Linked DNA regions of Mytilus edulis. The protein of the gene in region 2 purifies or fractionates together with the protein of the main gene of each other region. This does not show direct contact. Links are inferred from orthologs where the notes say so. Each region holds a gene or a part of one and is shown on either strand. Other genes may lie near its edges.

What was found.
Region 1: the proteins of F-box only protein 42-like (region 2) and recombining binding protein suppressor of hairless-like purify together in Homo sapiens (affinity purification with mass spectrometry; 3 studies listed by BioGRID and IntAct, counting the BioPlex papers as one, with this or other methods). This does not show direct contact. The link is inferred for Mytilus edulis from reciprocal best matches to the Homo sapiens genes FBXO42 and RBPJ.

Annotation. Positions count from the first base shown.
Region 1 is NC_092350.1:41,711,606-41,728,734, reverse strand, and holds the start of recombining binding protein suppressor of hairless-like, read left to right. Parts: upstream 1-7,865; 5' UTR 7,866-8,327; coding exon 8,328-8,357; intron 8,358-11,618; coding exon 11,619-11,940; intron 11,941-15,590; exon of another isoform or gene 15,591-15,686; coding exon of another isoform or gene 15,687-15,744; intron 15,745-16,355; coding exon 16,356-16,548; intron 16,549-17,129. Other genes in the region: ubiquitin carboxyl-terminal hydrolase MINDY-1-like, read right to left, coding at 858-964, 1,553-2,301, 6,628-6,748. UniProt on the Homo sapiens protein: Transcriptional regulator that plays a central role in Notch signaling, a signaling pathway involved in cell-cell communication that regulates a broad spectrum of cell-fate determinations.
Region 2 is NC_092356.1:55,204,278-55,220,725, forward strand, and holds the start of F-box only protein 42-like, read right to left. Parts: upstream 7,785-16,448; 5' UTR 7,701-7,784; coding exon 7,550-7,700; intron 5,251-7,549; coding exon 5,011-5,250; intron 4,607-5,010; coding exon 4,503-4,606; intron 3,736-4,502; coding exon 3,569-3,735; intron 2,928-3,568; coding exon 2,831-2,927; intron 1,171-2,830; coding exon 1,114-1,170; intron 228-1,113; coding exon 111-227; intron 1-110. Other genes in the region: coiled-coil domain-containing protein 115-like, read left to right, coding at 11,472-12,095. UniProt on the Homo sapiens protein: Substrate-recognition component of some SCF (SKP1-CUL1-F-box protein)-type E3 ubiquitin ligase complex. Specifically recognizes p53/TP53, promoting its ubiquitination and degradation.

The DNA.
Region 1 (17,129 bases), on a different chromosome or scaffold from region 2:
GAAACTTTGTAAACTGACTCATAATACACTAAGCTTAAATCATGCTAAGTTTTATTGGTATTGGTCAAGTATTTGGCCCCAAATAGGCCCAAGACCACAATTAATGACCCTGCTTTTCGTTGTTCACGAATATAGTTCCCTTTAATTACAGTGTATTTTTTCTTTATTTTTTTTTCTTTCCCTTTCTCATATATTTCTTAATTTTTTTGGGATGGAAATGAAAGAAGAGAGCTGAAATAAACTTTTGGATGCTTTATTTTAACTGATTTTAATATGGAAAGAGTGATTAAGCCAGGTGCAAAAAAGTAATATTTACAGTTTTCGGAACATCTCTCGACTTGTCCATAGGGGTATGGATGTGTATTGGCTAAATTTGCAAAATCTATACCAGCAATTTTTCTGAAACTTGGATATATTTTTGGACTTGTACAGTACATTACACTCACAAAAGATCTGACAAAAGACACAGGTAGATTTTTTTCAATGAGACAAATTATAAAGAACTGATAGAGGAATTAATTGTGGTCTCGGGCCAGTTTGTATTTCAAACTTATGTGACTTACTGGTACCCTTTAGATCTAACATTAACATCCATACCAGTTTGCTTTTCATACTTACTGGTACCCATTAGATCTAATATTATCATCCGTACCAGTTTGTATATGTATTTCATACTTACTGGTACCCATTAAATCTAATACATTGTATTAACATCCAGACCAGTTTGTATGAAATACTTACTGGTACCCATTAGATCTAATATTAACATTGGGACCAGTTTGTACATGTATTTCATACTTACTGGTACCCATTAAGTTTAATACTAATATCAAGACCTGTTTGTATTTCATACCTACCTGTTAAATCTAACATTAACGTCAAGCCCTGTTTGTAGTTTATGAATAACAGCCATGGCATCCTGCATGTTCTGTTCATAATTTAATTGCACAACCTCTGTAGCATTCTGAAATATAAACCAAAATGATAAATAAAAATTTTCAAAAATTCTAAATGACATCAAATGTAAATGTTCAAGTCATGAGGCAGAATAATTTCACGAATGAGCATTTACCAACTCTCATGTGCCAGGAAATTACATAATTAAAGGTTTAGAAATAAGATCCAGATGTAAACAAAATATATGAAATAATATCTTATTATTATATTATGAGATTTCATGTAATAGTTATGTAAGACACATGTTGTGTTAGGCTCTGATCCTGCCCATAAAGTTATAGTATGGTATTAGGTTTCTGTTTTGCTTTTTCCAATAATATTGTGCATAATATTGTTGTTAAATGATGCCCTTTATGGGTTCTTGATTAGATTAGATTGGTTATTCTCTCTCTAACATCAACTTGCCAAATAAATATGCCTGCTATGATATAACGTTTTCTCTTATTCTCAATGAATTTAACCAATTCTAACCTATTCAATAATTTTTTGTCAATTAACATGTTGATTTTATGTTGCTAGTTGGTTTTTTTGGAATGTTTTGATTTTTTTTCAAAATTGCCTGATTCTTTCTTTAGACTGGCAGTTAATATTTTACCTGTGGTTTATTGGCAAATATACATTCACCTAGATGTGCCATCATTTGTTCGGAGGAAATTATTTCAGTATCAGAACTAAATTTGATTTTTCCTTTTAATAATAAAACATTCATGATTGCCAACAATGGGCAAGGTCCATTTTCATTCTGTGTTATAATAGGTACTTCTTTTCCTTTGAACTTTGCCCATTTAATTTGATAAACACCCTCTAAAGATCCACAACTAGATTTGTCATCCATTGGAGATTGAGAACGCTCATTTTCACAATCTGTAGTTTCTGGTTTTAATGAGTCCTGTAATGTAGCACCATTATTTTTCTCTGATTCTGTTCTGTCCCCTTCTAAGGGAGGTAACTTCACAGACATTGTCTCTGAATTTGAAATTTCTGATTCTGAACTTTGAAATTTTGACAAATCTGAATATTTAGTATCTGACATCTGCGAGTCATTTTTAGAGTCTGACATCTCAGAGGTGTCTTTTTTCAAGGGAGGTAATTCCACTTTTAATTCCTCATTTCCAGACACTTCATTCTGTTTGCTGCTATTGTTTGTTTCTTTATCAATATCATTAGACTTTTCATTTCTTTTGGTAGATGGCAACGCCCATTTATCTGTTTCCATAGATTCTCCTGTTACACTGTCACTGTTTGAAACTGACTTATCTTCTCCTGGAGGAGTATAAACATCTGGTTGACTTTGATCCATTGTTGTGGTATCCCCTAAACACATTTCTTCTACATCATCAGATCCTGAAAAGTAAATATGTTTTTTCAAGTTTCAAACAGTTACAAGATAGAAATATAAGATAACAGTTCACACTCAGCAGTCACCTTCGTTTAGTTTGTCAAAATGAAATATGGCTTAAAAAAATTGCTGACATATTATTAACTTGCAAGACAATAACTAACCCTAATTTGTATTTGTACTCTGTATTTTGATTGGTTGTTTTGGACATGTGGTCAACAAGTCTAGTTATTCTGTTATTGAAAACTGTATTACCTGAAAATTGAAAATAGGGAACTAATTTCATTATTTGTGTGGGCCTGCAAAAAATAATCATTCTTATACAGTTTAACAATGATGTAACCAATAATTTAATTTTTATTTATGATATGAAATCAAGCAAGGGAAAACTTTTACCCCTGCTAATAATTTATATCTGTCTATATTTTCCTACAAAATGTGCATTGCATTTATATTAATTTTGGGTTCACCGGTTCACACGTCCATTGTCAATCTTTTGAGATCTTGCAATTGGCTAGCTATGACCAATTAGATATACAATCTCAAAATAATTTAATATAAATAATTTAAGATAAAATAGTTTCAGAATCATATTTCGTTCTGGTTTTAGTTTTGTAGAATATTCCTTTCCATGAAATAAACATAAATTAGTAATTGACACATGATTGAGGTCAAGACTCTAATTAATTTGGCAATTTAGCATTATATAAGAAAGATCATGTCATAGGGAACCTGAAGCGCACTTTCATTTTCTACGTTCAGTGGACTGTGAAAAGGGGATCAAAACTCTAATTTGGCATTAAATTAAGAACGATCATACATGTATCATAGGGAAACATGTGTACTAAGTTTCAAGTTGATTGGACTTCAACTGTATCAAAAACTACCTTGACCAAAAACTTTAACCAAGAACCTAAAGTGGTCCAGACTGACGAAAGGAAAGATGCACACATCAAAAAACATAATGCCCCTAAGTGGGGCATAAAAAAATCAACTTTAAATTGGTCTATAATTTTAAAAAAGTATAGTGGTATCATAAGTGGTATCCTAGTGTTATCAGTTCTCGATAGTGTAACACATTTTTGCTCCATAGGGCCAGTTCTTCAAAAAATGTTGTTAAAGCTGATTGTGTTAATTTAGTAGATACTTTTATTCATTTCCTATTATCCTCACAATTTTCTCTAGTGTAATTCAAGAAAAAATCAAAACATTTGTTGTTGTGCTCAATTTTGACATTGTGTCAGAACAATACGTCATTGATCAGTTCTCGATAGTTGTGAAAAGTATAGTATGGTGAGCATGTTTCACTTTGATATGAATAGAAGATTTCAAATTACGCAAATTGAAGAAAAGTATCAATTCACTATCATTTGTCTCTAGAAAACATATTTTTTTATGAACTTTTAGCCTTATCGATCAATTAAGGCATCTTTAACTGATATCCAAGGAATCATCACTAAAGGTCAAAAAAATGCATTGAATATTAATTTTAGATGATTTTAAATTATTGAACCAATCCTTATTTATCATTAGATGTTGTCACAGCTGTTATAAATATTTTTTGTCACAGTAACAATTTCATAAACAATATTTAAGGGCATTACTTTTCCGATAATCTAATTGAATTAATTTTATAGTTGATAAGATATGGCACAAACTGCGTTCCATAGAATTTTTTCCATAGCGACGTCACACCAGGCTTAAGGTAGCACAATACAAAGATTTTGTCACTCCTAATCAGACAACTTTAAACTGATGTAATTCATTTTATCCGTCTTTATATTTTATAAATGAGGTACCAAAAGAAGGAAGAAAGATTAATCTTTCAAATTGTGATAATTTCATTATGACATAATTATTACATAATTAATTATTATGTAATTAGTTGCTATATTGTGATGTCCACACTTGAATGAATTTAGCTTCTTTGTTCTTCATAGCATCCCAAAATATTTTATAGATTCTTGTACAACACAGCTTGACCTCCAAAACTGTGTCTCAGATTTCCAAAAACATCAATAGAACAAATTTTATACCCAATTGAATTTAGTGGTCTCTTATGATTTCATGTTGCAAACTTCATTGAAGATTTATGAGAGAATGAAATACAATAGGAAAAATCTGAGACACAGTTTTGGAGGTCAAACTGTGTTGTGCAAGAATCTATAAAATATTTTGGGATGCTATGAAAAACAAAGAAGCTAAATTCATTCAAGTATAGACATCACAATATGGCAACTAATTACATAACAATTAATGATGTAATAATTATGTCATAATGAAATTATCACAATTTGAAAGATTAATCCTTCTTCTTTCTTTTGGTACCTCATTTATAAAATTCAAAGAAAGATGAGTGGAATTACATCAGTTTAAAGATGTATGATTGGGGATGAAAAATCTTTGTATTGTGCTACCTTAAATTAAAATATTGTTTGTTTGCCCTTTACCGACCAACCCTATAAATTCGTTCCGCCTGAAAATCTTTAATTTGCATTTACCAGCAAGATTTTATTTTATTTTTTCGTCCTACCAAAAATCTTATATTTGTATTTCCCGCTCAAAACTTTTTTACCGGAATCCTCGGGTTTCATCTTTATCGTATAAGGTCAAGTCCGTTTGGTATCACGTGAGGGTTTGACATGCACACTTGCATATAGCATGCATAGAGTTTCAAAGCATTTGTTTGAAATCGATGTTAAACGCTTTGAAATAATGATATGACGTACGTTAACTCTGCATCTTTTTACTTGAAGAGCAGGGTTCATTTACAAAAAAGTTTGTTTAATAAAAAATTATTAACGTCTGTACAAACTATTTTGTGTAAACGGACGTTGTATTTTATGTAGGGATGGCCTTTTGTGATCCGTAGATTAGGATGATTATCATGGTTAACGATGCCTTCGACCAGCATTGCCATATTATTTATATCTGACATGAACCAAAGGTGACAAAAGCCTGTAAAGTGGAGAATATTTGGCAGTAAAATCACCAAAGTTTTCCATACAAATCATTTATAAATGCGATGTAAAATACGTGACAATTGAGTTCAAGTTTTGTAGCATTTTTATTGGAAACATGGGCACACACGGAAATTTAAACACTCTAGGGACTTTTTCTTATAGTAATGTATGTCTGCCCGGACATATTTAACCTGGACAAAGTAATCTCTTACAGAAAACCTTTAGGTAGAGGTAAGCACACAAGGTATGTAGTACAGAATATTAGTGCAATTTAAATCTCTTCAAAGTTACAGGCATAAATGAACGTTGAAAATATGCGACACAGCTCTTTATTTTGATATTTGAAAACAAAATAGTAGTGCAAAAAAAAAGCCATATGAATTAACTTCACATTCTACATGATATTTTTTTTTTCAAAACGTTGTCCCACAAACTTATAAGCAAATGCAAAACAGACAAAAAATGACATTATGCAGATTTTGTATCTATAAAATAAAATATTATACCTACCTGCCTACCCATGTAAAAAAATATACAGAGTCAAGTAATTTTTTTGGGGAAAAAAATAAAATATTTTACCTACCTACCTACCCTGTTTCAAAACATAGGGTCGGAAAAGGGCAAACAAACAATATTTTAATTTAGGCCCCAATTCTTACAATTGTGTATTACGTATGTGGACTTATCCTTCTTTTCGAGCTAAGTTTTGTTTACATTTGAAACTATGCTATTTATGAACCGAGGGGATGAAGTTGGGGTTGTTTTGGGGATAACGTAAAGTAGGCTAAAATCGGAAAATATTATCTTTACTGTTATAAATGTCATAAATCTTGAAATGTTGAAATTAATGATTGCTTGAAGCAAGTTTTTATTCTCAATCTGTCCTTAAAATACCGTCATGCAGGTGCGATTTCGCGAACCTACTTTTATTTTAACTATGCACATTGCTATCTAGAACTGATTAGTAATGAAAACATATGACTTCACGATATCATAAGTTAAGATTAAGGAGCTTTGTATCACTTACATACATATGTTGTTTTAAACAAAAATAGAAAACTCGTCATTTTAATTTTAGATGGTAACCACAACATGACAGGGTATTCATGTTGGTTACAAAACTAAAAATGACAAGTGTTTTACTAACATATACTTTTTGGCATGCAATTTTTAAAAAGTGCATGAAGATCTAAATTTTGACAAAAATTGGCAAAAAGTCCATATGTGTGGTTTCACTTTATTTTTTGCAACATTTGGCTTTTTTTTAAAAGACAATAACAAAAGTTTTGTGTCTGTTTTCTGTATAAAAAATGATGTTCTATTTCAGTGATAAAGCCAAAAGTTATGCTAAATCGTGGCATGACTTACCAGGGTTTGACGATGCGTCATCAATTCGAGTAATTACAGCATTGATTTCACCAGAATCGGTTTTATTTGAATTGCTGGTATTGACATTTAAATCGGCGATAATATTGTCGTTTGCAGACATGATAGCAAAATTAGTGCAAGCAGGTTATTACACAATGTTCTTTTTTTGTGTTGCTTTTTGCTTCAACTGTAAACAACTCTCGCCATTTTTCTCGCCACACTTAACCTCGACTCTAATACTACAAATTTTCCCAGGGGTTCAATGAGGGATAAATTTGCTCATAGAATATAATAAATTTGTAGTGACATGTGTTTGGGCGTTTTTTCCCAAGAAAATGTTCACAGTCGTTCCGTTCTCTTGGTTTAAAGGTCTTAAATTGTATACTTATTGGCCCACTGAGTACTTTCAAACAACTCAGAAGAATAAGAGGTACAAAATAGGGCATGCCCATTGACAACAAATATGCGCCATCTTGCAAAGTTCTGAAACTTGGGTCCCACTTGCATTTCATCTTATTATTCCGTTGCTTTAACTTATATAACATCTAAATTAATGCAGGACACTGATGGATTGAATATACTTTGGAATATTGATATGCTATAAAAGCATCAACCTAGATTTTTTTTGGTATTGTTAAAGTTGAATGAACTTTCCTGAAGTTTTGACCTCTTGATCCAGGACAGCATCAGTAACTGTCGGTGAGTAGTTTTAAAGCTTGAAAGCATTTAATTATTTTCTTGAAAAAAATAATAATAAAGTTTAAAAACACCGGTAATGTATAAATCTATTAAATTAAATGTCAATATAAGTATGTACAATTTTAAAGATTTAACTACGCTTGAAAAGGTGGTTGGGTTCAGAATTTCTTCCATATGAAAGCTGGTCATCAAATTTTTGGATCTTTAATGTTGGATACTAGATGGATTCTGGTAAGCCTGGATGTTGGCTCACTTGGGAACTTCTGAAAGTGGGTCAACAGGTCAAAATATTCAACTGTAATTTGTTCAAGTGGAAAACTATCCAGTCAGTATCAGCTTAATCGCACACTGCACTATACTGCAAATAGCGTTGTTTGTGGCATCTATCACGCTGCATTCGATGGTGCACCAGTGAAGTTTGCAAATTTGTGACTGTCCTAGATTGAATGATGCCGTGGGAACACCTGCTAGAATCGTAAAGTCAACAGCCAATCGGCACGCGACGTTCTCTGTAATTGGCTGTTTAATTTAATGCACCTACTTTCTTACAGAAGGCTTATCATGCCGGAATTTGCTATTTTAATTTGATTTGATGGAATATTTTATTTATATAATGAATAATTGATAATGAAATATTTATTGCAAAAGTTTATCACGTATAGAACGTAACCAAAAACTATTTTAATCTCCATATGGTCCCTTTTCTAAAAGTGGATAAGGGGGAGTGGATTGTAACAGCCCTTGATCATTGTTCTCACGATCAAAGATGCAAATGTGTTTTCCCACGGGTCTTCTAGGTTATTTACAACTTGAATCTGGCTCTTTTTAGGAGTAAAACAAAAAGCAGTGGTAACTCATTGCAAATGAAAGGATACGTATTATAGATGAGCTTGTTATGTTGACTCGTGTTATATATCAAATTTGGACAAGTGCTCAGAATTATAATGCAGTTAACACCTGACTGATTGATTTCTTTTTGAACATTTTCCGATATTTTCAAGATGAATAATCAACAGTTATATGTTTCCCAGGTGAGTCTACAATCATTATGTTCAATTTTATTTGTCTGACGAAGAGAAATAATACGATTTGATATATTGTGCAATATTTTATCATTTCATCAAAAGTTTTCTTTATATTGGAAATGATCACCAGAGTTGTTTTGACCTTTAGAAGTTGACCTCACAGACACCGCTAATGAGTTTACACTCGTGGGAATTTTTCCCACGGTTTTGTATACTTTGTAACAAGTGGTTGATATTTACATGATTAATCATCAACAATTTAAAAGATTGTTTACTTAAATTAAAGGCTGAATTTTAAAGTTTAAATACAAAGGCAATTTTATTTTCAATAGAATAGTTGGACAAATAAAATTTGTTTGCCAAGTCATGCAGTTTTCACAGGAGCTTACAAATTTATAAAATATTAAAAACTTGCATGTATAATTCTGATGAATTAAAATGTAAGAATGTTCTTGTAAGTTTTATGTAAGAAGAAACTTAATAAAAAATGCACACTGTTATTATAAAATATGCAAACTGTTCACATCTTTAGCTAGTGTTATTTTAGTTTGAGGTCACCAAAAAAATAATGCACTGGTGATCTTTTGCTGAAATGAGTGAAAAAAATGGTTTTAAGGTTTATTCACTCCTTTAGATTGTGTACAACTCACACATTTGCAACTCATTCCGCTTGTACCCTATTATTGTCTTGCTACAACTAAAGTTGCAGAAAGCCAAACATACATGTATGGATAGATTTTTCGAAGAAAATGAAGAAAATTGTCATCTTTTTCAACAATTTTTTCAGAGTTTTGTACTCGAGTAAATTTGATAGGAACTATTATCACATGTCGACATCATTATATTTATAAAGTTGCTTAAAATTTACTATCAGTATATTGATGACTACTTCAAGACCCTGTACCGTAGGTTATCATGGTCATGGTTTAGCAACTTTTGAATTAATAATCAATTTTCAATATTAAGTTAGTTTGATAGGAACTTCTTGTCATAGAACATTGATATCTATAATACTAAAATTACGAGGTCCAATTTGTCAGCCGTCATCGGGTAAAAACGACAAATCAAAGAATTCAACTCTATATATAACTAATATAGGACAATGGTGTAGATTAAAAATTACACCACTCCAGACCCTTTTGTTTTCCACATAATTATAAATATTGCCAATAATTAACAAGTTCCGGGTCTAATCCGATACCGATACCAATAGTATATATTCACCTGTTAGATATTACCTTATCTGTACGTTCCGCATTTGACAGGCGCACCACCAAACGGTGTATTTAGGATTTTGCTATATACACGGGTCATAATCAAAGGGCTGACACTACTAAATTCAATTGCCAATGAGACAGAAGAGATCAAATTAGAAAGATGTACAACAACACAACAGAACCAACTGTAAATTAAAAAATCAATTGGAAATGGCTTGATTCCTCAGATGTAAGAAGTACATGTTCTATCAAAAAGACAAAAGATGCAAAGTACACGTATGAAAGAGTACTTACATACATGTATAGTTGATGAAAGCTAATTACATGTAGTCAAAGTTAATTTCAACTTATTAATATCAAGGATTCTCCTGACTTAAACTAAAAATAAGACTGTTTAAATAAAAAAGTATGTTAATTACAATTGCGGAGGGTATAATGTTTTTGACCCTTTCGTCCGTCAGTCCTGTTTCTTGTCATCACAACTCCTCTCAAACCACACAACCGAATTTCACAAAATCTTTTTATATGAAAAGGACATATTATGTAGTTGTGCATATCGACAGGAAATTACGATTCAATTTTATTTTTAGGAGTTACGCCCCTTTGAACTTATTTGCTTCAATGTACTACTGCAACAGTTTGTCATCGCAACTCCTCTGAAACTACATAACAGAATTTCATGAAACCTTTTCAGATAATAAGGACATACTATGTAGATGTGCATATCGACCGGAAATCACGATTCAATTTTTTTCTAGGAGTTACATGTACGCCTCTTTGAACTTATTTGCTTTAAGATACTACATGTTGTACTTCAACAGTTTGTCATCTCAACTCTTCTGAAACCACAGAACAGAATTTCATGAAACTTTGTAGATAATAAGGACATACTACGTAGATGTGCATATCGACAGAAAATTACGATTCAATTTTATTTTTAGGAGTTACGCCCCTTTGAACTTATTTGCTTCAATGTACTACTGCAACAGTTTGTCATCGCAACTCCTCTGAAACTACATAACAGAATTTCATGAAACCTTTTCAGATAATAAGGACATACTATGTAGATGTGCATATCGACAGGAAATCACGATTCAATTTTTTTCTAGGAGTTACATGTACGCCTCTTTGAACTTATTTGCTTTAAGATACATTATGTACTACATGTTGTACTTCAACAGTTTGTCATCTCAACTCTTCTGAAACCACAGAACAGAATTTCATGAAACTTTGTAGATAATAAGGACATACTACGTAGATGTGCATATCAACAGGAAATTACAATTCAATTTTTTTCTAGGAGTTATGCCCCTTTGAACTTATTTGCTTCAATGTACTACTGCAACAGTTTGTCATCGCAACTCCTCTGAAACTACATAACAGAATTTCATGAAACCTTTTCAGATAATAAGGACATACTATGTAGATGTGCATATCGACAGGAAATCACGATTCAATTTTTTTCTAGGAGTTACATGTACGCCTCTTTGAACTTATTTGCTTTAAGATACATTATGTACTACATGTTGTACTTCAACAGTTTGTCATCTCAACTCTTCTGAAACCACAGAACAGAATTTCATGAAACTTTGTAGATAATAAGGACATACTACGTAGATGTGCATATCAACAGGAAATTACAATTCAATTTTTTTCTAGGAGTTATGCCCCTTTGAACTTATTTGCTTCAATGTACTTCTGCAACAGTTTGTCATCTCAACTCCTCTGAAAACACACAACAGAATTTCATGAAATTTTGTAGATAATAAGGACATACTATGGAGATGTGTATATTGACAGGAAATTATTATTCAGTATTTTTTCTTATACAATTTTTTTTTCTTATACTTATTTAATTTCTCCAATGACAATGTGGGGACGTGGGGTATGTGAGCGTCCTCACTAAGGTTCTTTAATTTGTACATGAACATGTATCTAGTATTACAAAATGTATGAAGGTTGTAGCCCTTAAGTCGCAAGCTTGCATGAGCCTTGGCCCTTGGGTAGATTATACACATTGTTTAATCATGTTTAATGTTATATCTGTTAGGCAGGCTATGGATACACAATAGAAGCATTGGCAGACCCACATTATGAACACTGCACACCTCAGGCCCAAAATGGACACAGTGGACATTTTACTGATGCAAGATACATGTTACAAAATGATGAAAATTTGTATCAGGGACAAGAAAACGTCTGTTCGACACGTAGAAACCTAAATGGTCATATGGCTCAAGGCGGGTATGAAAATCCCGTAGACTTGTCTAGTAAATTGATCAATGTGAATGGTTATATTAAGAGTGAATCTGTGCAAAATGGAGGATATCAACGAGAAAGGACACCCATTATGGGCAGTCATAGGGAACAAGGTCAGTTAAACTCCTTATTGTTATCCATTGTACATTTTGTTATAAATCATAAAAACAGGACCTTATATCATCAAATGGAAGTTTTTAGTGACGTTGACTGGCTATACAGCCCTTGCACCGTTGGTGGACCTTATATAATCTAGTTCAGGAAAGTTTATCCATGAAATGCCTCATTTCAAAAAACTGAAATGATTTTTGGTGTGAAGATTGAAAAAAATGCTTTTTAATCCCTACCACCACAATTGTCTTGCTTTTGATTCATACACTTTTTATTCTCTTCAAACAAGCATTTACACAAGTTGCATAAAGTTTCCACAATATTCAAGAATCTATGTTCTAGCTAAACAGTTATAAGCCAAGGGAGATAACTGAAAAATGTAACCTATTATTATTTTTGTAAAGAATAAAACATAATTGGTCAGTTCATGGTACATTTGTAATTGGATATTTAATATTTCTTTTGTGAATAGTTGACATTTTTCACAGTCTCAAATATGCAGAATAAATTTAAAATATTTAAAATAGTCTTCTAATTGTGGATTTACATTGCTAGTGCTGCATATTCATTGCAAGGCCAAGAGAAACCAACCTTGTCAATGCATCTTATTACTTTTTGGAGATCATATGCTTCCATTAATTTTTTTTTCTTTTTTTTTTCTTATCTTATTGAAGGGTTTATGAGATTCAAACACAAGTAAATTTCTGTTGCTTCTAAGTTTTAGTTAAAAATGTAATGCAAGTGTTAATAGTACAAGTGACATGATAGTCACGACAGAGTATTAAGTGTACATTATGTAATTTAGATGGAATGTTTCAAATCTTCATGAGAACTTAAATAAGGCACAAAATATTAATGGATTAAATAGTAACTCCCTGAAATGATCCAGTTCATTGATGCACTGTAATTGATTTTTATCATCCCAATAAAATGCTTTGAAAGATCACACTGCTTGATGCATATTTTAATCTGTATATCCAATGATTAGACTTTTTCATTTAAACTTATGTACATGTACTAATGTATACATTAGTTGCTTGTAACCATGCAAATCCATTCATTTTGTAGTACCAGTTCTTTTAAAGAACAAATGTCTAATAGTTTCTATAGATTGCCTTAATCTTTTATAAAACTGTTTCATTATGATTTGTTGATGTCCTGATAAGGCCAAACAAAATAATATGTGTGTTTTCTATTACCATGATTACATCTTTAAAAAAAAAATTGAGTAGTTACAAACAATGTAGGTAGGTAGAGTTTTTTTTTAATTTTGTTTTATTGCAGTCTATATATGGAAGAGAAATTCTGACTTTAACAGTGCTTATTGAAAAAATGAAATTTTATTTAGGGTAGGCTATTTCTATGCTTAAAAAATAGAGGAGGTGGAGTAATAGGAAACACATCTTTTATATTTGGCCTAAATATATTTCTGTGGGTTAAATGACCATTAATCTATAAGGGATGTAAACAGAAGTATTGATAGCGATTGGAAATCAAACAAGCACTGCCTTATTTTACACAATTAAATTAACAAGCAGAAATTGATTAATTTAACAAATAGTTGAAGGTTCTTTGTAGAATAGGATCATTATAAGCATGATTTAGGCCAAATCAGTTGACAATATCCGACAAGATATCAAGTTTCTCTTTGATAATTTGTTTCATAGGTTTAAATAGTTTCTTGAACATCATGTAAATTGGATGGCTACAATGTACATGTATGTTAGTTTTGTCAGTTGTTTCTGCTTAATTTTCTGTTATTTAAACTGTTCATAAATGATAGTTGTAGCAGAATTTATGAAGTAATTTTTACGTGAGGAAGAATGTATTGGATGTTTAGCTTAACTGCAAAAGCCACTGTATACTATCTCTGCAGTCATGTTTTAAAATGGTGGACGATTACATTTTTTAAGAGTTATGCCCCATGGAAATATTAAATTTATTGAAAGTGGCCAAGTTAACTCTCATGAGTACAATTCTTGTAAGATTTTTATAAAACTTATACTGTAGGTTAATATCAGCAACATCTTGGACAAGTTCTTAAATGGTGGACGATCAACTTTTTAAAGAGTTATGCCCCTTCGGAAATATTAAATAAGTGCAATATGCGGTGGACATTGGAACTCTGTTTTATTTTTGTGGAGAAATTGGGAGTATCTTGAGAAAATGAACCACTGACCTTTTACAGGAAGACTGACTACCCTTATCAAAATTGAGATCTTGAATGTGGATGTTACTAAGTGAGATAAAAAGTGATGTCATACGTATACTCACAATATCAAATATGATCCCTAGATGTACTTATAACTTTCAAATGCTTCAAAATGGTTTCAATAAAATGTTTACAAAAAGAAGATTTTTAGGCTAAAAATGTGACTATGTTTATTTTGTGAGACAATTATGTATACCCAAAAAAATCAGAATTCAAAATGGTGGCTCTGTTAGTTCCAGAAAGTAGTAAATGTTGGCCCCATTGCCAGCAATGCTATTTTTATCAATCATCTCCTTAAATGGCGTTTTGAATCAACTATTTTCATGGTTCAGTGACCACTTGAAAAAAAGGTTCAGAGCTTTTGTAATGTTGAATTCTCTCTTATTATAAGTAATAGGATAACAATATTTGATATGTGCGTACCTTGCAAGGTCCTCATGTTTGTCAGACAGTTTTCACTTGACCTTGACCTCATTTCATGGATCAGTGAACAAGGTTAAGTTTTGGTGGTCAAGTCCATATCTCAGATACTATAAGCAATAGGGCTAGTATATTCGGTGTATGGAAGGACTGTAAGGTGTACATGTCCAACTTTCAGGTGTCATCTGACCTTGACCTCATTGGTCAAAGTTAAGTTTTTGAGTTTTGGTCTTTTATCTAATACTATATGCCATAGGTCAACTATATTTGATGTATGGAAATATTTTATGATCTTTATGTCAGTTGCGCAGGTTTATTTGATCGTGACCTCATTTTCACGGTTCATTGCACAGTGTTAAGTTTTTGTGTTTTGGTCTATTTTTCTTAAACTATAAGCAATAGGTCAACTATATATGTTGTATAGAAGCATTGTTAGCTGTACATGTCTGTCTGGCATGGTTCATCTGACCTTGACCTCATTTTCACGGTTCATTGGTCTTTGTTTAGTTATCTTGGTTAATGTTAAGTTTATGTGACAGTTGTAATTAAGCTTAGCTTTATACTTAGGACTATCAACATAATATCAATGATTAGTATAGAAAGCGAGACATTTCAGCGTGTGCACTCTTGTTATCTATATGTCATGTTCCCTTCATAAAATGGCTGCACCCATGATTTAGTACATTGTAACCTTTATTTACATGATTGGAAATCCAATATGGCCACCAACATTACCATTTTGAAGTATTTTTTAAATCATCATTTTTATGTGTTTAAACCAATTAATTTTAATTATAAATCCAACTTGAATTTCCCTTGATATATAGAAATGAATCGATAAATTCTTCCTTCTTATATAAATTGGTACATATCAATTGAAGTATACTTGCACTTTTACAAAAGTTTAAAGATATAATCAATGGTTAAATGACACAAACCTTACAAGTGTGTAATTTTCCCTTTTGAGCCTCAGGAAAGACAAACAGTGGTATGGGAAAAGCACAACAGATTACAGGTGTTACTTATAATTATCAATAGTAAAGCTAAGCTAAGATAACCCCAAGTAAGGTTTTCTCCCAATCACAGAAAGATCATTTGGTCCAGGCAGGATTCAGTATGTTAGCACATAATTCAGACATGATGTTTGATGAATTTCATTATATTTTAGATGACAGTAAGTTTTGATTATTGTTTTAAAGAAAGTTTATTGATTTTTCTTTTAATTTGGTTAAGTATGGTTAAAAATTAGAATGTCTTTGTTTATACTTATTTCCTTATAATGTAATTGTTTTTACATGAAAACTAAAATTCTGGCACATAATTTTAAGAACAGTGCAAACTAGAGAGGATTGTTCCAAAAAAAGAAAACATGAAATAATTTCTGTGAAAAAATCTGACAAATTAAAGGATTACAAAAAGTAAAAAAATATTTTTTTTTTCTCAAAAAAATTGAAAGATTTTATAACTAATTGATTTTTAAATCCTAGAAAATACTTGTCACCATTTATTTCTGGCTTACAAACTGCTGATGCAATAGAGTCTGTAATTGCTATTATAAACAATTGATTTGTCTATCATGTGTTATAGGTTATAAATAAATGATGTACAGGTACATGTACCTATTGTATTGATTCACTGTACTGTTTTAGTAAATATTAAAAAGGGGGCTATCTTTACTTTAACGAGCAATAAAACACATTTCTGTTGTTAATTTCACAGTTTTATAGTTCTCTGCTCAATTTGCAGATAAAAGAAATAAGAATTAATTTTATTTTTTTATTGCAGATCCTCCTCATATGGGTATGGGGTCACTGACTCCACCAGAGAAGTCAGAATATGACACAGTTGCCATGTCAACCACAAGTCCACTCAACAGCATGCCACCACAACAGACCTTAGTGGCACCTCCAAGTCCCAAATCAACTCCGTCCCCTAGAAATTTAATGTACCCCTCAAGCTTTCAAATGGATCACAGAAGGTGAGTTGTAACTCAAAGTTGTACATGTCATTTATAGTTGACTGACGTGGTGAACATATTACTCTTTTATAGAAATGCAAGAAGCTAAATGACCAAAAATAACATACATGTACAAAAACAATAAAAATTATCTAAGGTTAACTTTGACTGAGGGTGTTGAAACCCCAAAAGAATGTAAACAAAGAGATGAATTGACATGTCACCTATAGTCTTCAACAATGTGCAAAACCAATACAAAAGGTAGCTATACAAAGCCCATGGCCAGGGATAACAAAATGAGAAACTTGTACATTCTGTTTTAAAGTTGCCTTAGGGAGCTACCATTTGATTTTTATGGGGGGGCTAGGATGAAATTTGAAAAAAATAGGCAGGACAGGAATTTTGAGTTAAAAAAAAAAGGCAGGATGAGACACTTGCAAAAAAAAAGTCAGGATGACAATTTAGGTAAAAAAAGTCGGGATAAACTATAAAAAAAAAGGCAGGACCGAATAGAGTGAAAAATAAAAAGGCAGGACAGAGATTATAATTAAAAAAAAATGCAGGACAAAATTTTTCATCCTAGCCCCCCCCCCCCCCCATAA
Region 2 (16,448 bases):
TATTTTATATACAGGAAGAGACAAACAACAGTAATACAACATGTGGCATAGTAATACCAGGTAGCTATAAATAAAACCTTCATATAGTATAAAAACATTTTTATATTTACCTTGCAAGCAGGATGACACCACAGTTGAGGAGCAGCACAGTCAGTGTTATTGACCTTGACCTCTGTCCATTCCCACGGATCCTTGTCCATGCTTAACAACCACATGTCATTAAATATCTGAAATAAGAATAGATAGAAATACAAAGATGTCTACAATTTTCTCACATCTTCTTTTATTCATATTCATAAAATTTCATTCAATTCTTCTATTTCTTAAACAGGACATTTGTATATGTGTTTACCATATTTTCTTATGAAAGAAAGTTGGTTTTTTATTTCAATCTGAGTTTGGAATGAGGAAAACTTGTTAAAGGTGTTTAGAAGTCCAATGATTTTTCTTAAATTGTATTAGGATGACACATGACAAATTCAATGTATGTATACTAAAACATATCTTTGGAATTCTATTAGTGCCCCTTTCTGATTCACATCACCCTTAGAGTATGTACAAATGATGTAGTTCCACAGTAATCATGTAGCCTTGTTTTGATAGCTTATCAAATACAAGTCAATACTCAGGTAAGTACAGAAGTGAAAATAACTATACTACAAACATTATATATACTTTTACAAACTTGATCATTTTATGAAATTTGCTTTTCTTTTTATGGCCCTTTTGGTTATATATCTCCCAGTATTTATATTTTTTTTATACATCCCAAGCTTTCAAAATTTAGGAGTAAAACTTTCTGGTGAAGTCATTTTAATTTCAGTTTCTTGTGTACAATTTGGAAATTAGTATGGCGTTCATTATCACTGAACTAGTATATATTTGTTTAGGGGCCAGCTGAAGGACGCCTCCGGGTGCGGGAATTTTTCGCTACATTGAAGACCTGTTGGTTACCTTCTGCTGTTGTTTTTTTTCTATGGTCGGGTTGTTGTCTCTTTGGCACATTCCCCATTTCCATTCTCAATTTTATTAAATCCAGAAAAGTGCATCTGTTTCACAAACAAGAAATTCCATTTTCAATTACAGCAATTTAAATTCAGTACCATATTTTACCTGATTAGGACCTCCACAACCACCTATCACTAGTATATGCTGGTCATCTACTGTAACCTAAAATCAAACCAATCATTACAGAATCAATTTCTAAAATAGAACAAAAACTTAGATCCTACAGAGCATGAATTTGATTGACTACATTAAAATGATATTCATTCTGATCATTGAGTTATACTATCTCCTATCCTGATTCAACCAAAACTTATAAAATAAATAACTATAGAACTGCTGAATGTTAACATATAACACATTTGATAATTCACACACAGGGATAAACCTATTTGGGATAGTTGTACCTTTTAGGGTATTTGTTAACAACCAATATTGCAATAAACTGAATAATTATTAAAAAAAAAAAAATAACACATAACCACTGAACAGCACTAAGACAATTACAAACTAGGGCATTAATTGTCTCTTTACAATTACAAACTAGGGCATTAATTGTCTCTTTACAATTACAAACTAGGGCATTAATTGTCTCTTTACAATTACAAACTAGGACATTAATTGTCTCTTTACAATTACAAACTAGGGCATTAATTGTCTCTTTACAATTACAAACTAGGGCATTAATTGTCTCTTTACAATTACAAACTAGGGCATTAATTGTCTCTTTACAATTACAAACTAGGGCATTAATTGTCTCTTTACAATTATAAACTATAATTGTCTCTTTACAATTACAAACTAGGGCATTAATTGTCTCTTTACAATTATAAACTAGGGCATTAATTGTCTCTTTACAATTATAAACAAGGGCATTAATTGTCTCTTTACAATTACAAACTAGGGCATTAATTGTCTCTTTACAATTACAAACTAGGGCATTAATTGTCTCTTTACAATTACAAACTAGGGCATTAATTGTTTCTTTACAATTACAAACTAGGGCATTAATTGTCTCTTTACAATTACAAACTAGGGCATTAATTGTTTCTTTACAATTACAAACTAGGGCATTAATTGTCTCTTTACAATTACAAACTAGGGCATTAATTGTCTCTTTACAATTACAAACTAGGGCATAAATTGTCTCTTTACAATTACAAACTAGGCCATTAATTGTCTCTTTACAATTACAAACTAGGGCATAAATTGTCTCTTTACAATTACAAACTAGGCCATTAATTGTCTCTTTACAATTACAAACTAGGGCATAAATTGTCTCTTTACAATTGTTTAACATATGTCTTTTCGAGGCCTCTTATGTCTTGCTTTGTATATAGGTTAAGCTCATTGTTGACAGACCTATAATTGCTAACTTTAACATTATTTGGTCTCTTGTGGGAAGTTGTCTCATAGACAATCATACCAAATCTTCTAAATTGTATATAGAATATGTCCAATGCACACAATCCTCCTCTCTGGATCAAAACATTCATTTTGCTTATACTTTTGAAAGTTTACATCACAACAAATTTGTTTGTGCATATATGTACTTAGTTTCAAGTTTTCACAACCATGACTGTCACTTAAATAGTAAAGGATATTTTAAACCAATCAACATTAATCATCATCCATGAGGTGTGTATGTGAAGCAAAATTCTATCCAGATGAAATATCATCCAGCTTTTAAATGTTACAGATGATGTTATCATGGTTATAAATTTTTTGCCAGAGGAACATATATCACTGACACTGAGATATTTTCCATTCTTTATTTTTTAAAGTTTTTATCTGATGCAGATGACAGTGAGTAAACTGTACATACCTGTGTCTGACCAAATCTGGGACTTGGTCTCTTATTTTCTGTTACTATTTTCTTCCATGTTAAATCTATAAAATCAAATCGCCACAAGTCATTTGTTCTGAAATAAACAGTTAATATGATTAAAACTTACAGGAAATTGTCTCTAAGGCTTTGTTGGTTTTTTTTGGCAACTGGATAAAAATCTTTAAGATCAAGGTTGTGTAACAGGAGTCATTAAGGAGTGCACAGCACATTCTGTTTTTTTTTATTACATGTAGAGCCAGAAATAGTAAGATGAAAGAATTTCTAAAAAAAAATATTATAAGATCATCTTCTCATTATTTTTCTTCTAAATTCTGTCATTTACTTGTGTTTATATTGACATAATAATATGTGTTCCCAATATAATCTTTACAACATGTACAACCAGAACCATAGTTGCTTTTAACATGGAGGATAAGGGATTAACTGATGACGATACAAGGAACACTGGACCTTCAAACAGAAGCATAATAGCTAATATATATAGTGTCCTTTTCAATTTAAGTTTAATGGCCTGTTATAGATTACACAAGGAACACATGATATTCTCCAAACAGGAGGATATAGTGTCTTTCACAATAGAGCACATGTTGCCTGCTGAATCAAGAATTACTTACCCGATACCAGGAACACTGGACCCTCCTAACAGAAGCATAGTGTCTTTAACAATAGAAGCTGAATGGCCTGCTTTAGAAGATGGGATTGAGATAAACTTACCCTATTCCAGGCACACTAGAGCCTCCAAACAGAAGCATAGTATCTTTGACAATAGAAGCTGAATGGCCTGCTGTAGGTGGTGGATGTTCTCTAGAAATACTGGTCACTAGGTACCATCTGTTGACCTCTGGTTTGTACATATGTAATTCATAGAAAAATCCTGCAGCCTGGAAAAGGTGAAACATCAAACATGTCAAAATCTAAATCTTTTTTTACTTTTCATTTAATGACAAAAAATTGGTATTTGATTTAATACAAATAAACCAACACTGAAGCCTGAATTTACACATTTACTGTCATAAATTAAAATATTTACTATTGAAAATCAGCTTTCAAACCAGATACTATGGATTCAATTATTTTCACCGTTGTCAATTTTCGTGGATCAAGGAAAACTTGCACGTTTGTGGATACTTAATTTTGTGGTTTTGCTGAAGTCTACATACATGCCAATCATTCCAATAGGAAAATTGTCATTCATCTAATTTCGTGGTTCACCTATACCCACAAAAATTAGTATCCAACGAATAATAATGAATCCATAGTACATCGGTTTTCCTCATTGTTGAAGGCCTGACTGAGACATATATACATTTTAGTTGTTAATTTCTGTGTCAAATGGTATCTTGTCATGCTTTGTGGAGAGTTGTGTCATTACCTCAGTCTAAACATATACATCAAGCACATGCAAATTTTATTTTTGAACCAAAATAAAAAAAAAATCTGAACATGCTATAAGACAAATATTCATACTACAAGTCAAGACTGGCCGACCATTAATACATTCCATAAAGAAAGAATTACCAACAATAGATTATTTTCATATGAATAGTTTTAAGTTTGCACAGCAATCTGTAGCTTTATAAATAGCTTACACACAACAAAGTATGCTTTTTTGTATTTCCTGATTTTTTTCGAATTCGTTATAACCCACCTGGTGTAAGGGATAAGGAGTAGGATGACTCCATCCACCAAATAATACCAAGCTGTCCTTATATACCACCATACTGGAACAGGCTTTAGGTGATGGATAGGTTCCTGCAACAAAAACATTTGTTATATGATTAACAAATGATTAAAGATGTTCTCTTTACTCCTTGGCTAAAAATGTAGGAAATCTTCAATGATAAATGTTATATTTATAGTTGGAAAAATAAAGTCAATAGTGTAGGCCCCTTTTTATTAATCCTTGCAGTTCAACATTATATTAATAATTACTGTTAGTTGCTCATTTGTAGTTCAATCATAATTTTTTCATTTAAACTTATTTTCAATATCAAATAAAACAACATTAACAAAAAAACCATACTTTGACTTTATAGCATTGAGAAAATCAAACATACTATTCTAATTTCCCCATAATCAATGTAACCATGTGACACTGCTACACGACCCCATAGGCCAAAACAGCTTGTAAAATCCAAACTTCTACATAAAATTACCCATTGCTAATGGCCTAATCCATTCTCTCCTTGCCAGGTCAAACCTCCAGAGGTCATTAAAGGTCGTGTTCATTGATGTACATCCACCAAATACATACAATGACTTGTCATAATAACAAGCACAATGGGAGTATCTTTCTGTTACCCGTATGATATCGATCTCTGGTGCAATTTTTGTCCATTTCACTTTACTCTCATATACACAGTTTTGAAAGGTCTGTCTTAGTTGTCTTGTCACACCTTTGATATAAAAAGATTATTGTTGACAACATGGTTAGTAAAATTGAAAATGGAAATGGGGAAACCCTATAATTGCTTACATCTAATTCATTTGAACTTTGGTGGATAACTGTCTCATTGGCAATCATACCACATCTCCTTTATTTCAATATTGACATGATTGATAAATCATCATTTTTGTTATTTTAATCTATTTAATAATTTATGGCAATACCTGGCACATCAAAACACTGATTATACAGTTAAATAGAATGTGATCTACATTGTACATGTTGTAACTCAAAAAAACTTTCTTAAGGATTGTCATGATTGTTTACATATTCATCATTGGTTGGGTATTAAAATAACAACAAAGATTCCAATGAATTCAAAATCAATATGAAGAAACATTATATTGTCGCCCTTCGCTTTATTTTATTATCTTCTATACACCTTATCCCTATTTCAGACCTGTCAACCAAACTTGATAATAAATTCAAAAGTATTACAAAATTCTTCATGTGAAAAATTATTAGGTGTTAAAATCGACAACACACTTAACTGGAAAAATCAAATTGACCAAGTTTGTGCTAATAAGCCTACTATATCATCCAGAACATACCTTCTTTCTAAAATAAAGAATTTTTTAGATATAAATGCAAGGAAAACATATTACAATGGGTATATTCTTCCCTTAATTGACTACTGCTGTATTATTTGGGGTGAATGTAAAAATGAACGGATAACAAGAATTTTAAAACTCCAAAAAAGGGCAGCAAGATTAATTCTAGATGCAGATTTACCCCCCTCAGCCCCCTTATTTAGAAAACTTGGGTGGATGACAGCTGACAATAGAAAAAAATACCACAAATATTTACTTCTATATAAATGTATGCGTATGGAAGCACCAATGTACCTAGTTCAAAAGTTTAAACTGAAATCAGATAATAATCCTTACTCCTTAAGCATGTTAAGAGGTGTACATGTCACTCAAGGTAATCGGATAGTTCCTAAGCCAAAAGCTGAACTATTTAAGAAATCCTTTGCTTATTCTGGATCAGTTTTATGGAATGGACTACCACACACAATGCGTAAAGCTCAAAACACTTTTACTTTTAAGCAAAGTATCAAGAAGTACCTAACACAACCCTGATAAGAAATGTTTGCTACAATGTATTTGTATATTTTTTAATTTTTCATTTTCAAAATTTGATTTTTTGACTACATGTATACATCTTAAACAGCATTATATCTTATGTTAATAACAATACATTGAACTACAAGAGTGTAAATTAACTATGTGTAAATATCTGTTTTGATTGTATTGTAATTTGTACATGTATGTGAGGGCCTCAGGGAAGATTAGTTTATTGTAACTAACTGAGTTTACCCTCTTTAAATAAAGAATTTCTTATTATTATTATTATTATTATTATTTGGAGATCTGCACCTCTTGATCCGAGCATCTGCTATGCTTAAACAATTGAAGTCATACAACAATCACTTTTCCATTGTAGGGTCAGAAATTTTATGATCTTTGACAGTTTTACATCTGAGGATGACCTTTGCAGCTCTAGGGGTATGTTGTTCATTATCCATTTGATATTTTGTTAGTCTAAAAAGTTGTCTGTGATTTTTTTTCTTCTCATACATGTATAATCATGATAATTCTCAATATTAGAATAAGATTGATTGATTGCTTATAATCCATTGGCAAATTATTTCATGCACATCTAGGACTAGTCCAAATAATTATGACGTCTTGAAAGGCTATAATAATTTTTTTCTTTGACGCGTCGAAGTAAGGCGTCAAAGAAAAAAATTAGAATAGCCTTTCAAGATGTCATAATTATTTGGACTAGTCTAGGACATGCACAAATTAACAATAAATAATATAGGAAGGTTGTTTAACACCTTATCACTGTTTGCCTGCCATTACTGGACTGTTGTGGACATCACTGAAATTTATGCTGAATTTCTCTTAAAATTCAGACGTCATAATACAAAATATCTGACAGATTTTCAAATAGTGATAAGGTATATAGAGATTAGAAGCTGTCTGGATGAAGGTTCAGGGCTATTGCATCTCTGGATCTATTCATTATAATACCAATGTAAATATAAGTCTGAAAAATAACAGTTTCAGAAATATAAAAAGGCTTTCATTAAGTATGAGGAAAATCGCAATCGAAGTCAGGTTTTATAAATTAAGGAAATAATCTTTTAGTTTTATCAAGGATTTGTATAGTAAGAAGGATTGGAATCTCGTGGGCTTTTGCATAGACTATACCAATCCTTGGTTTTATTCATGTTATTTTACCTGCAGCTAACCGGTACCAACGACGACAGACAAGCATGCATGACTTGACATCACGATATGGTGAAACCTTGGATAAAATAAACTCTAATATTTCTTCAGGCAGATCATCAATATTCACATTAGATGAACAAGTGTCGAAATCCATTTCCATTTCCAAACATATGTAAGGAATTTGGCTAGCTGTACGAATGCCAAACCTTGTAACATAAGATGCATGAAAAGTAACGAAAAGCTCCGAATGAAAAAAAAAAGAAATTTCGGACTTAACAAAACCCTGACAAAAGAAGAACCGACTGTAAAAGTGCGATTTGTTATTTGAATATTGAGGGTCAACTATTGATGGGAGATACTCGAGATACATTAAAAAAATATATTTCATAACAAATGATTCAGTTTAGTCAAACTTCAAGACATGATTTAGAAGAATAAACATAAAACAAAACAAAAATATATTTATCACCGGAAATATGATATTTAATTTGTTCCCGCGTGATTTTCCTTCGATACTTCTCGCGAGTTTACCCAAAATGACTTAAATCCTATTTCGACCTGTGCAAAAATTATCTTGATGTATTGTAGGTGTAAGTCTTATAACTGTATCACCCATTGCTTTGATTAATGATTAATCCAATTCTTATTCCAAAATAAAAATACAGTTGGTAGGGTAGATTGTCATGATAAAAATACCTAAAGGCATGTGTAGGATTTAATAATGTCCTCCATGAAAAAATGGCCACAGACCACAATTAATTCCTCTATCAGTTCTTTATAACCTTTTGCATCATTAAAAAAATTGCACCATGCACTTTTGTCCAATTTTTTGTGTGTGTAATGTATTGTCCTAGTCCAAATATATATCCAAAATTCAGAAAGATTGAAGCAATCACTTTTACAAATTTAGCCAATACACATCCATACCCCTATTGACAAGTCAAGAGAAGTTCCGAAAACTGTAAATATCACCTTTTTGCACTTGACCTAATCACTCATTCCATATAAAAATCAGTTAAAATACAACCTCCAAAAATTTATTTGACCTCTCTTCTTTCATTTCCACCCAAAAAGATTTAAGGAATGAGTGAGGAAAGGAAAGAAAAAAAATTAAGGAAAAATACACTCTAATTAAAAGGAACTATATTCGTGGACAACGAAAAGCGGGGTCATTAATTGTGGTCTTGGGCCAAATGTCCACTGGACACATTTTGACAATATTTACTTATTTAAATGTGTCCTGGACACAATTTCCTATGAAAACATGTCCTTAGGTATGAAAAAGTGTCCATGCACATGGACATTATTCACTACCATAATATTGTCCAGGTGGACATTTTTTTCACAGGACATTGTGTCCGCCAGGGCACTTTTTGATATGATTAAAGTATTAAATGATTCCATTGCCTTGTTATTACTGGACGCATTTTAACTTTAATTATGAACTTGAATTAATTGTTACTTTGACATAAAAATTGTCTCATTGGCACTCATACCATCCTTATCTTCATATCTATTTTTTTTAATATAATTATATACATGTTAGATGCTGTTCTATTTTATTTTCCTTTGAAGACACAATTAAATAACATTCACTACGAAAATTTGTTCAGCAGATGGACCATATTTCATAACTGTTGCTGTAAAATGCTGTCCACTTAAATGACAATATTTTATGGCAATGGACATTATTTATTATGCCCCACCTACGATAGTAGAGGGGCATTATGTTTTCTGGTCTGTGCGTCCGTTCCTTCGTCCGTCTGTCCGTCCGTCCGTCTGTCCCACTTCAGGTTAAAGTTTTTGGTCGAGGTAGTTTTTGATAAAGTTGAAGTCCAATCAACTTCAAACTTGGTACACATGTTCCCTATGATATGATCTTTCTAATTTTAATGCCAAATTAGAGATTTTACCCCAATTTCACGGTCCACTGAACATAGAAAATGATAGTGCGAGTGGGGCATTCGTGTACTGAGGACACATTCTTGTTTTCTATTGCCTTCTTATCTGACATAATAAATATTACAAAGTTCTTCATATTTGATTTTACACTTCCTTCTTATTGTTATTCTTTCATTGTCATAACCATTTGTTGGGAATTTCTTAGAACTTAAATTTCTCTATATTCACTTCCATCCATTATTTATTTGTTTACAATAGACACTAGACACTAGACAATAGACAATATTTTATTCGCACAAACACATTTACATTAAATGGTTATGGCATACAAAATTAAGACAATAAACTGACAATAGTTAAATTGTATATTGATCAATATACAAATTACATTTGTATATTGATCAATTTCTCACCAATCCTTCATATTTTAATTAAAATTTAAGTATAATAAAACTTTGTAATGACCTTTGTATTACTTCCCTTAGAGGACACAATTTAATAGCAACTACTATGAAAATTTGTCCTGTGAGTGGACACTATTTCATGTTGTTAGCAGTAAAAATTGTCCTTTTGAGGGACACCATTCCATGGCAATGGACATTATTAAATACCAAATTTCAATGAAAAAGTGTCCATGTGGACACTTTTTCATAGGACACAATTATGTCTTACATATGCTCTGAAAGGAAGTAAGAAAAACCAGTTGTAAATAATTTTAATTGTATATTCACAGGCACTTGTTTCTGTCAATGTGGGGTTTACTATCCATACCAGTACAAAGATTTTTTGTACTGGTATGGATAGTAAACCCCACATTGACAGAAACAAGTGCCTGTGTGTATATTTTTGCGAACGTTGTAAATGTAATTTGTAAATAGCCAAGAGAAAACTTTCTGTATTGCCCGACACTGTGTAAAGTTTTCGTGCAGAACCATTAACATTCAGCTTTGAATCTGATTCCTTACCTGGAAGAAGAAAAATGACAGACAATGAACCATCATTTTAGTTATTAATTTGAAATTGCTCTTCTTCAGCTAACAGTACTAGTTTGTAAAGAGACAATGATCAACAGGATAATAAATTTTTCATGAAACAAAGGCTTGAGATTTGACCAAAATTGTTAAGAAGGAAGGAAAATGCCGCAATAAGCATGAACATGTGCAAGTCTCACGTTAATCATGTTAATTGGGGGTGGGTCTTTTCAAAGTCAAACACCACTGCACACTGTTGAACACCAACCACTACATTGTACTAAAAACACTGATATTATACAATAAAATCATAAAATCATGATTAATCGCAATCACCAATAAGCAGATGTGCTATTATGCCTATATATATATATATACAGATTGAATTAAAAAAGCTTGACACGCGTCGGTGAATGAATTAAAAAAGCTTGACACGCATCAGTGATAAACAGATTAATCAACTAAACAAAGTCAACATCAAAAACTCTTTAGAAAAATAAATAGTCTATGTAACTTTCTACATGTAAACATAAAATTACCAAATTAAGGAAAAACAATAATTAACAGTAACAAAATGTGCTATATAAAGATGAATTAATATAGCTTGACACATGCAGTGATAAATAGATTAAACAGATCAATCAGAATAAACAAGTTCTAATCCTAATGTACTTTATAATATTAGTCTTCAAAAATTAAGAAGAATTCTGCAAATACACTATCATGACTATACATGTAGATATTTTTAGATTAAAACATAAAATTAAGGAGAATAAGAGTAGGTTGACCCTACATGTATTTCTACTCTCAAACAGGTCAAACAACATAACGTGGAACTGCTGGATGTTTCCAAGAAATCAATGTCTTGTAATGTTCAATTCTAAACAAGAATATGCTGAGAAAAATCCATTGAGTGTTAGAAAAATACACAATATATTACATGTATGGTCATGATGGTCTGCATTCTTAATATTATCATATTTATCAAAGTGTCTGAAGTTTTAGGTGTATACCATACCTTAAATCTATTTTATTTTATTTTGACAGGATAAAAGAATATGAGTGAAAAGAAACCGTCAACTATGGATGCTGTAAACAAAAGATTAGATGAAGTTTTGGTAGAGTTTTTCGAATGCGTTGGAGAACTTTACCAAGAACAAGCAGATCTAGAAAATATAATGAAAAGTGGATTCTTGATGATGTCAAGGGCTAGATACAATATGGGGGCCAAGTCTGTTGGTGTTTCACAGTACGATGAAAATAATATGAAAGCTTCCAAACTGGTTTTGGTTACAGATAAAGATGATGATGACTGTGTCGACAAAATGTTTGAATTAGTAAACACAAACAGTTGTCTGGATAAGAGTTTAATAGATCCAGTTTCTGAAGGTTTGAGACAGCGTAAAAGTGGAGGAAAAGACAATGTGGAAACTATTGGGTCAGAAAATGTAGAACAATCAACTCAGAACAATTCAAACATGTCAAATAATACTAAAAATTACAAAGACCCAATTAAATGGTTTGGTGTTTTAGTACCACAAAGTTTACGTCAAAGCCAGGCTTATTTTAAACAAGCAACAGACAGTGTAATAAAAGTGTCAAATCTAAAATCCAAAGTGATACATCTCAAAGAACAATACAAAACTCTAAAGAAAGAAAAACAAGTAGTAACAACACAATGAAGTTGTGAAATAGACAAGATTATACTGTACCTGATTATTAGAATTTGGACAAAATAGAGAAACATTCTAATGAATAAAAGCTGGGAAAATATATCAAAATTATTTTATAGTTAATAGATTCTGAAAATTGGAATTTAGAGAAATTGATGAATAAAAGCTGGGAAAATATATATCAATATAGTTTAGTTCCTAAATATTAGAATTTGGACCAAACAAAAGAAATAACTTGATGAATTAAAACTGGGAATATATATATTTAAATACATGATATAGTTTAGAGAAAAGGGAGTAGTCTATGGATTAGATTTATGTATTCTAGAATTTGAATTTTTTACTCATCATTTGCTCATTATATTAATATTATTAACATGGCATGTTTCAGTATCCTATATTCATGCTATGTGTAAGGCATGTAATATATTTCTAATTAAGTCACATGCAAGAACTTTACATTCCAGGTGGTCTGTTAAATGTGACAATTTAATAAATATATTATTAGTGTTGATTATAGTAATTTAAATAAAGGTGCAATTTTATTTTTATAATTGATAGACATGTATACCATGTATACAATAATGACAATTGTTGATGATCAAAATAATTGAAATTAAATGTTTTTTATACTTTGTGTTTTAATTTAAATCCTATTAAATTGACCCACATGTAGTCTTGATCAAAGGTACTGTAAATTCAGAAATTATTGCCAGGTTAACCCTTTTTGTCAATATAAATAATGCAACTGGGTGGGAATCACAATAATATGAATTTGCATTCTCATACATATATCTGTATGCAGGTTTTTATGAAATTGCAAACATTGATCTCTCATTTTTGTTCATTCTTAACATTGCAATAATGAATGCTTCCAATAATTTCTGAAATTACAGTGTATCATTTTACACATGGTAGCCAAGTTGAAAATTTTCGTCACATTTTTCTCAGCAACTATTGGGATTTCTGAAACTTGGTTTCAGGGTTTTTATTAATCAGCTATAACGTGTGGTGTGTTTTCAGATTCATCACTCACAAACTTTATGTTTAACGAACACTTGTATAATTTTACACATGATAGCTGAAAATTTTCGTCGTATCTTTCTCAGGAACTACAATACAAGGATTTCTGAAATTTTGTTTCAGGGTTTATATAAGTCAACTATATCATGTTATGTGTTTTCAGATTCATCCCTCAACAACTTCCTGTTTACCTAAATAATTAAGCGGGGGTATCATCAGTGAGCAGTAGCTCACACTTTCACTTGTTTCAGGTGGAGGACATGACTCGAAAGTGGTCTTTTCCCCAGTAGTTGTAATTAAGAGAAATTGGTTGGAAATTTGTCATCTATAATCAAAGATTGCATCTGGTGGCTATGCTTTTTACCTGATTGTAATGAATTTTATATAGGACCTTCAATATTTTATAAATTTCCACTTGAGTTAAAATTGGATGCATGTTTAAAGAGATGATTAATACACAAAGAGACAGTTACTCACATGGCTTAATACATGTACATAAATAATGGGATAGATTTTTCACATGCTAGTCCTGAATCAATTGGTAAAATTCACTGATACAGCAAACAACCTGACAAGAAGAACTCCTGGGCCAAATTTAACCAAACTTGGCCACAATCATTATTGGGGTATTTAGTTTAAAAATTGTGTGGCGTTACCCGTCCAACCAACCAAGATGGCTGCCATGGCTAAAAATAGAACATGGAGGGGAAATGTAGATTTTGGCTTATATCTTTGACACCAAAGCATTTAGAGCAAATCTGACTGGGTAAAATTGTTTATCAGGTCAAGATCTATCTGCCCTGAAATTTTCAGACAAATCAGACAACCTGTTGTTGGGTTGCTGACCCCGAATTAGTAATTTTAAGGAAATTTTGCAGATATTGGTTATTACCTTGAATATTATTATAGAGATAAACTGTTCAGCAAAATAAGATCTACAAATAAGTCAACATGACCAAAATTTTCAATTGACCCCTTAAGGAATTATTGCCTCTTATAGTCAATTGTTAACAACTTTTTCGTCATGTTTTTAGGAAATATTTTCCACTGTAATTACTGGGCCAAGTTCATTATAGAGAGAAATATTTGTAGCAACAAGAATGTTCAGTAAAGAAAGATCTACAAACACATCACCATCACAAAAACACCATTTTGTCATGAATTTATCTGTGTCCATTGATAATATGCACATAGACCAAGGTGAGCGACACAGGCTCTTGAGAGCCTCTAGTTGGTTATTATCATGAAGATTATTATAGATAGAGATAAACTTTAAACAGCAAAAATGTTCAGCAAAGTAAGATTTACAATTAAGTACATGACTGAAATGGTCAGTTGACCCCTTTAGGAGTTATTGCCCTTTATAGTCAATTTTTAACCATTTTTAGCTCACCTGGCCGAAAGGCCAAGTGAGCTTTTCTCATCACTTGGCGTCTGTCGTCCGTCGTCGTCGTCGTCCTGCTTTAACTTTTACAAAAATCTTCTCCTCTGAAACTACTGGGCCAAATTTAACCAAACTTGGCCACAATCATCATTGGGGTATCTAGTTTAAAAAAATGTGTCCAGTGACCCGGCCAACCAACCAAGATGGCCACCATGGCTAAAAATAGAACATAGGGGTAAAATGTTGTTTTTGGCTTATAACTCAAAAACCAAAGCATTTAGAGCAAATCTGACATGGGGTAATATTGTTCATCAGGTCAAGATCTATCTGCCCTGAAATTTTCAGATGAATCGGACATTCTGCTGTTGGGTTCCTGCCACTGAATGGTAATTTTAAGGAAATTTTGCTGTTTTTGGTTATTATCTTGAATATTATTATAGATAGAGATAAACTGTAAACAGCAATAATGTTCAGCAAAGTAAGATCTACAAATAAGTTCACATGACCAAAATGGTCAGTTGACCACTTTAGGAGTTATTGCCCTTTATAGTCAATTTTTAACCATTTTTAGCTCACCTGGCCTAAAAGGCCATGTGAGCTTTTCTCATCACTTGGCGTCCGTCGACGTCGTCGTCGTCGTCGTCTGTCGTCGTTAACAATTTTTCAAACATCTTCTCCTCTGAAACTACTGAATGGATTTAAATGAAACTTAACATGATTGTTCCTTAGTATATCCTGCACAAAATGTGCGCTTCGATTTTTGATCCGTCAAAAAACATGGCCGCCGTTACTTAAAATAGAACATAGGGGTCAAATGCAGTTTTTGGCTTATATCTCAAAAACGAAAGCATTTAGAGCAAATCTGACATGGGGTAAAAATGTTCATTAGGTCAAGATCTATCAGCCCTGAAATTTTCAGATGAATCAAACAAACCATTGTTGGGTTGCTGCCACTTAATTGGTAATTTTAAGGAAATTTTGCAGTTTTTGGTCATTATCTTGAATATTATTATAGATAAAGATAAACTGTAAACAGCAAAAAAGATCAGCAAAGTAAGATCTACAAATAAGTTAATATGACCAAAATTGTCAATTGACCCCTTAAGGGGTTATTGTCCTTTAATGACAATTTTTCACAATTTGTTCATCATATTTGCTAACTTTAAAAAATCTTCTCCTCTGAAACTACTGAATGGATTTGGTTAAAACTTAGCATGATTGTTCCTTAGATTATCCTGCACAAAGTGTGTGCTTTGATTTTTGATCCGTCAAAAAACATGGCCGCCGTTACTTAAAATAGAACATAGGGGTCAAATGCAGTGTTTGGCTTATATCTCAAAAACGAAAGCATTTAGAGCAAATCTGACATGGAGTAAAAATGTTCATTAGGTCAAGATCTATCAGCCCTGAAATTTTCAGATGAATCAAACAAACCATTGTTGGGTTGCTGCCACTTAATTGGTAATTTTAAGGAAATTTTGCAGTTTTTGGTCATTATCTTGAATATTATTATAGATAAAGATAAACTGTAAACAGCAAAAAAGATCAGCAAAGTAAGATCTACAAATAAGTTAATATGACCAAAATTGTCAATTGACCCCTTAAGGGGTTATTGTCCTTTAATGACAATTTTTCACAATTTGTTCATCATATTTGCTAACTTTAAAAAATCTTCTCCTCTGAAACTACTGAATGGATTTGGTTAAAACTTAGCATGGTTGTTCCTTAGATTATCCTGCACAAAGTGTGTGCTTTGATTTTTGATCCGTCAAAAAACATGGCCGCCGTTACTTAAAATAGAACATAGGGGTCAAATGCAGTTTTTGGCTTATATCTCAAAAACGAAAGCATTGAGAGCAAATCTGACATGGAATAAAAATGTTCATTAGGTCAATATCTATCAGCCCTGAAATTTTCAGATGAATCAAACATCCAATTGTTGGGTTGCTGCCACT